Cricetulus griseus: one gene and its partner. The protein of the gene in region 2 interacts with the protein of the main gene of each other region in a pairwise test. Links are inferred from orthologs where the notes say so. Each region holds a gene or a part of one and is shown on either strand. Other genes may lie near its edges.

Region 1 (3,579 bases), on a different chromosome or scaffold from region 2:
ATCACACGTAGTGAAGGACCTGCTTTTTAATACCTCACAATGGAGACTGTATTTTACCCTAGTCTTGAAACCATTGTAGAGATGGTTCAAGATACTGAAACCATTGTTGAGGCTTAGGAGGGTAAAGAAACTTCCCTAGAGCAATTCAGCTGTGGGGCAGGTGTCCTACTCACAGTCTTGTGAAGCCAGACCCTGTTCCAGCTAGCATATCTACCCTCCCTATGCAGGTTAATGGTTTATGAGGACGGCAATACTCACAGGATCTCTGCCCATCAGTGACCCAGAGGCAACAGCAGAGCTCCGGGTCCCATTCTACTAGGCTACTCTTCCCTCATGACTTCACACCTGATCCTTTTGCCTCCATCTCTCAAGTGCTGAGATGTCAGGTGTGCACTACCAGGCCCAGCCTCCAGTTAGTCTTCCTCAAGGAACAGGGTACGGAACTATACCCACCAGACACCAGCTCTCCCCTCCGGATACAACCTTCATGTAAGTATGACAGCAACAAAGCAGCATCAAAGTCTTTATTCATGTGAACTGTTAAAAATGTGCATCTATACCAGTGTCAAATGAGGGTGGGAGAGGAAGGCAGGGTAGTCAAGGAGAAGGATTCCCGTCTATTGGTAATAAAGCTCCAGGTTCATCCCATCATGGATTTCATCTGAAGACAAGTATTAAGGAATTTTCACTGAGGGCTGACTCTACCCTTTACCCACTCACAGTTGGATGGAACCTTGTGGCTCGACAACCAACCTTGGAATAAGGAAGCAATTTTAGAATGTGCACTTTGATCTAAGAATTCAAGCTATAAATAATGTAAGTGACCATCACTGAGAAGGCAAAACTGTTTGTCATCAAAGCCTGGTGTAGAGTCAGATTCTCAAGTGCCCCAGGCCTTCACACACAGCAATAATTAACACATTTTCTTAAATGTTCATACTCAGGCTGAAGACATAGAGCAACAGTTGAAGGGCACTCATGGCTGCTCTTGCACAGGAACTGGGTTCAATCCCCGCACTCACACGACGGTTCCAGGGAATCTGAAGCTTCCTTCTGGCCTAAGTCAGCAGCAGGCATGCATGTGGTGCATAAACGTAATTGCAGCAAAAGACCCAGAACCCCTCCCCTGCCCCCATAAAAAAAAAAATCATACTGGTTGTCCACTAGTCACATCTGAGGTATACTCCACCTCCACTTCCTGTCCAATATCCATGTGCTGTTCAGTCATAAATATTTTGAACCTGAACGTCAAAATCCTTCTGAACCAAGTTAAACTATTCCACCACCCTCCTCATCAACAAAATAACGCCATACTTTCCATTTTCTCAGTAGTCCCTATCTATAGGCCACATTTTAAGTTAAACAACCCTACAGGTTTCAATATAGAACCAGAACTCAAGTATATGGATTCTTTCACAAAAGTCAGGAAAAGGATACAATCTCCCAGAGACACGTGGTCCTTAAAAATCGTGTACCTACGGGACAGACATCTTTCAGAGAGAAGCTTATTTGGCGGGGTTGAGGTGGGCTTTTGTCTTGAAAGCAAGCTGAGCCCTCATCGGGGTTGCCTGAGGCGCTCCCCCAACCGCAACCTTCTAGCCTAATCCCCACCAGCACTTACCATTTTTTAAGGACGATCTTATTCCAGCGGGTGCCAGTTTGGGCTGCTATCAGTTTCTTCAAGTCCCCGATGGTGTCATCGGTGCTGGGCACGAAGGAGTTAAGGTAAATGGAGGGAGGAGGTAGAACGAGGAAGACGGTATTAGGCCTCCCCATCTACGCCATTTAACCACAATTTGCCTAACACCAGCAGCTGCCCCAGAGACCACGGCCGGTCACCCCCTGGTGGATACTTGCACTTGACGCGGACTTTCTTTCCGAGACGGTCGTTGCAAACAACCTCAATCATCGTGACTGCGGCTACACCGGGGGGGGGGGGAGATGATGGGAGATAGCGGAGTCAGAACTCTGGGGTCGCCCAAAGTCCCTTCCCGAGTGGAGTTCTCTGTCCACACCACCCGAACACACATCCCCGGCAGCCCCGTCCGGGGTCTCAGCGGCGGGGACCCAGACAGTCGCGTCTCCGCCCCTTACTCCCGCAGGCCCAGCCCCGGCCTCCGGCTTCGCCTCCCGCCGCTCCCCGTGATCCCGGGCCTCTCAGTTTAGCTCCCTCACCTCTAATTCCCCTCGAATTTATCGACGACACAACTCCCAGCTCGAACGCCGAGCCCTGGCCCGATTTAGGGCTAGTAGCAGGAAGCGGAAGTGATATAACGGAAACATCCGCTGTTAGGTGCTTCCGGATTCCGGGCTTTCACAGACGCGGTTCTGTGGCGCAGTTTGCCGAGCCGAGGCTGGGTTGGAAGACTGTGAGACTGAGCGGCGGTCCTAGTGGATTTACAGCCGACGGTCGGAGCAGTGTTGGCGATCCCTTTGTTGTGGAAGAGACCCAAAGCGTCTGCCATCCCCAAGCCAAACAAACCTCCTACCGCAGAATCCCGGCTGCCCAGCGGACCTGGAGTCGCGCGGGTGCCCTGGCTGCCGCGCTCTCGGTGTTCATTCAAAGCTCCGTCTCGGCCCCTGTGCTTGCCGTTACCCTCTGACTACAGCGACTGCTTCCGAGACCCTAGGGGTGCAGACTGCCGCCGATGAAAGCTAAGCTGTGTCTCGGGCGGCAGGCCGTGCTCCACACCACCCTATGTGTCTGTCGGGGTCCTGCCTGCGAAGATGTTGGAAACACCATCCTGGACAAAAAAAAAAAAAATCGATTTTTTTTCTTCTTTTTTTAATCTTCGAGGAACACCTTGTTACAGATTACAGAATCGCGAGAGCTGATGGGGAAGGAATCCCTCTCTAAATTCAATCAGTTCCCACCTCTCCTGAACGATAACTTCTTAGCAGACAGTACTCAGTAAGGTAAGATATACACATATATTTATTTTTTAAAAGTTGCTTAATTTTCTTGACATGGGGTGTCAATATATAGACCAAGCTGATCTCGAATTTGTGGTACTAATGTCCACCCTCGGAAGTTGCTGGTATTATATAGGCCAGTGTATTAGAAGCTATCCTGGTCTATATAGCGAGTTCCAGGCAAAACTTTGTAGAGAGACTGTCTCAAAAAGAAAAAGAAAAATCTACCAGGGCCTTGTGCTTAGCTAATACCACTTATACAAAATTTATCCTTACGAGTAGGCAGCAGAAAGCATTACTTTTTCTTTTTATTGCGGCTTGTGGCCACGCCTCCCTGGCTTGGCAGTCCTGGCCCCTCAGCCTCACCCCAGTTACACCTTTCGGTCTGGAATGAAGTCCTGATTCACGTCCTTAGTGTTCTGATCTGGTCCATCCTCTTCCCGGTGCGTCGTTCCCGTTCAGAAAATACTTCCCAGGCTCAAGCATACGTACCAGAAAAATGGGGTTTCTTTTTTTTCTTTTTTTTTTTTTTTTTTTTTTTTTTTTTTTTGTTGTTGTTGTTTTTCGAGGTAGGGTTTCTCTGCGTAGCTTTGGAGCCTATCCTGGCACTCGCTCTGTAGACCATGCTCTGCCTCGAACTCACAGAGATCCGCCTGCTCTGCCTCC
Region 2 (3,512 bases):
CTATAACCATATGCTGTGAGTTGAGTTGTCTAGTTTGTCAGAAAAATGTCAAGATTGGTTGAAATTGTTCTCTTTTAGCAACATTTAAAAATGGACATCATAATAAGAGGGGAAGTAAAGGCTAATTTCAATCTTCAATCTAATAAATGCTAGTTGTAACAGAAAAAACTTCGGGAGGGAAATGATATCTCAAAATTTACAAATTAAAGACGTCTAAAAAACTTCGGGAGGGAAATGGTATCTCAAAATTTACAAATTAAAGACGTCTGGCTTTCTCAATACATTTCCCATTCAGCACCCAGGTTCACAACTTCAGCAAAATTAACTGCAGACAATAATGTTGTGTTGTACTAGAAGCTAGACTACACACTAGTAAGCAATCGCTAAGCACCCCAACAATGTGACCTGCCTGAGTTGTTTCCAATAAACAGTAAAGCAGTTTCTTTAAAAAAAAAAAAAAAAAGTTTACATTCAAAGAAAACTATGGGTGCCTCATTTTTTTAAATATACTGTACAACCACAAAATAAGATGCTTTTTACTATTAAAACCAACAAATTCATGATCTGGTTTGCAGAATGAGTAAGTGTGGGCAAGTGAAGACTAGCTAATAATACACAGGTGTCAGTTATGAGTATGTGTTCACTTCCTTTAAGGATTCAAGTATATGAATATAAATTATAGCATATCCAAATAGTATTAAAAAAACTTTTTCAGAAACTTATCATTCTTTTAGAGCCTTACAAACAAGAATCCATTCAAAATAAAAACAAATCACTCATACCGAATGTGACTGATGACTTGCACAGTGTCTATTACGCTTCCTTTTAGGGCTGCTCCTCCTGCTTCGGACTGAGGATTTACTGCAGTGGATCCGGTAACTGCTTTCAATGTCTCTATGGTAATGTCTTGGAACATATCCTTCGCAGTAGTCATTTCTGTACTCATCAATGTATCTCCGGTCCCGATAATCTCTTCCATTCAAGCATCTTGCTTCTAAATAGTGACTGTAAACACATTCAAGGATCTCAAGTTATTCTCTTCATTCTGAAATAATGTGGTTCAAACAAAATTCTTAAGAATTCTTGGTTTAAATAGCTAACACAATAAAAGGAAAAATTCAAGTCGATGAGATTAGATTTATACTTATCTCAGATAACTTAATAACTTTAACCAAATAGTTCCATATTTTCCCATATACACTTGCTACAGCCAGGCATGCTGGTATATGCCTGTAATCCCAACACTTGGAAGGTGAGGGCAGGAGGATCAAGAATTCAAGGTAATCCTGAGTGAGGTACATTGCAAGTTTGAAGCCAGCCTGGGCCACATGAAACATCTCCAAAAAAAAAAAAAAAAAGAAAGAAAGAAAGAAAAAAAAAAAAACCCACAAAACAAAACAACACCCCACACAAAAAACCCCACACATTAGAAAACTGCTGTCAACAATTCATACCAAGGAACAGAGCTTTAATTACAAAATACTTAAAATCAAATGTTCCTTTACCTTGTGAAAAGTCAAGATCAAACCTGCAAACCTGTTCTGAAATGCACTGATCTTACAACATCTGAAACTAGCTTCCTTTCCCGCTCTCGCTCTCTCAGAGACACACATTTAGAGAAAGGCAAAAGAGGATTCCTTTCCCCTTTAATGTAAGTGCATTTTGATATCCCTGACAGACTTCTTCCATAATGTGTATCACAGATACAGGAGCCTTAAATGTATTTTCAGTCCTTTTATTTACTAACTCAATTAAGACCCCTAAAGGATATGCCATTGTTGCAGAGTACACTAGTGGCAAAAACTAAGATATTTCAAACATGTCACCTATTCTAACTCCTCTCTTTTCTATGTCTAAGCTTTCTATTACTCCTGTTTGACAATCAGACACCAGAACTTCTGAGGCCTGCCTAATGTGCCAAGTACACCTAAAATTGACCCTCCTAACCAAAAGGGTCCAGGACTGTGGACATCCTTCCATTCTATTTGCCTTTGCATTTCCTGTATTTTTTGTTGTAAGCCTAGCCTTTTAATGGCTGAGCCATCTCTCCAGTTTGACTTTGCATTTCTAATTTCCTGTGACTCTTGGAAAATACCCAAGAAATAGAAAAGAAAACAGCATTTTCTAGTGCCACAGTGCTTCTACAGATCCCTTTGAGAACCTGATGGGATAGGTTGTAGACCCTTTCCCCCAAGAAATGTGCAAATGCATAAACAAAACTTGGCAAGAACTTCATGGAGGTCATGGACCTCAGGAAGTCAATGGGTCCCAGTTAAGTGTCCTGATCTGATGGAAAGAAAAGGACAGATTCAATTGGCCCAGTTTCCCATCCCCCCTCTACCTGGGATGAGTGTCCTCTTCAACAGAGTGCGAAGCTTCAAGAGGGATGCACATGGAGCACTGAGGGAGAGAGGGGACACCTGCCCAGTCAGACAAATCAGCTAAATAATCCTGACAAGCAATGGAGTGACAGATGTTGCTGAGGCTGCCCCCCTCAACCCCTTTACACTCCCCCAGGATATGCTGTCATTTTCTTCCCAAGTGCTGGTTTAAGCAGAAATAAAGAGAAACATCCCTAGGACAACTGCTCAACAGACCTGGCATCTAATTCAGGCTAGGCTTTCTTATGGCCTAGCATCATTCTCAAGTTCTTCCTAACCTCTGGAAAAACAACTCAGGCTATTAGGATAAAACTCTGGACCTGAGTCAATTGGTCTAAAACAGAGATCTAGATGAAACACAACAAACTAGATGTCATACTTCTAAGGGCATCCTATTTAATTTTATAAATTATCACACCCACCTCCACACATTCAAAGTCTACCTTAAAAAACTACACTGATAATCTTTAACTGGAATACTATGTGAAACTGGCCCTGCTGACACTCCAAAACAATCTACTAATGATTAAAAAAAAAAATGGGGGTGGTGATGTACTATCATGAACAGAGCTAACATGAGAAGGACCTTTCCCGTTTATGACAACCAAAGACCAAAGGTTAAAGTCTACAGAATTATACAAGCTGTGGACAGGGCAGACAGAATAACAGGTCTGATTTTTTAAAAAATATCCACTGAATGCTCAGTGAATATTTCATTGTAGCTTTTCAAAACAGCCCAAACTGTTGAGTGCACTGACATTTGTTTTTATTTCCACAAAGGTCCTGTGGGAGATAAAATAAAGCATATAAGGCAAAGTCTCTCCCCAATAAATGAACAATTTAAGATTACTCACACACAAAAATAGAAAAATCAAAATAGACAAATGCAAAAAAAAAAAAAAAACTGTTGAAAAGGTGCTAATGATCGCTTAGACTCAGGGAAAGCAAAGATTTCAATCTCATTAAATGATTAGGGAAGAATTCATGACAAAGACAAAAGCAGATAAGCATCTTAAAGGAAAGCCAGGATTTGGACAAAATGGACAGTAGGAAAAATTCCAGGAAAACAGCATAGTGCCATCTTACACAGACAGCACCACCAGTCAGAGGCTTAGAATGCATGTATCTACA

What was found. The genes of interacting proteins can lie anywhere in the genome.
Region 1: the proteins of Clk4 (region 2) and Ubl5 interact in a two-hybrid assay, tested with the Homo sapiens proteins (2 studies listed by BioGRID and IntAct). The link is inferred for Cricetulus griseus from reciprocal best matches to the Homo sapiens genes CLK4 and UBL5.

Annotation. Positions count from the first base shown.
Region 1 is NC_048597.1:133,522,996-133,526,574, reverse strand, and holds Ubl5 (ubiquitin-like protein 5), read right to left. Parts: upstream 2,332-3,579; 5' UTR 2,176-2,331; intron 1,921-2,175; 5' UTR 1,910-1,920; coding exon 1,854-1,909; intron 1,706-1,853; coding exon 1,622-1,705; intron 1,476-1,621; coding exon 1,438-1,475; intron 662-1,437; coding exon 618-661; 3' UTR 509-617; downstream 1-508. UniProt on the Homo sapiens protein: Ubiquitin-like protein that plays a role in cell proliferation and sister chromatid cohesion by associating with spliceosomal proteins. Participates thereby in pre-mRNA splicing by maintaining spliceosome integrity.
Region 2 is NC_048600.1:65,546,845-65,550,356, reverse strand, and holds part of Clk4 (dual specificity protein kinase CLK4), read right to left. Parts: intron 2,401-3,512; exon of another isoform or gene 2,395-2,400; coding exon of another isoform or gene 2,342-2,394; intron 1,006-2,341; coding exon 783-1,005; intron 1-782. UniProt on the Homo sapiens protein: Dual specificity kinase acting on both serine/threonine and tyrosine-containing substrates.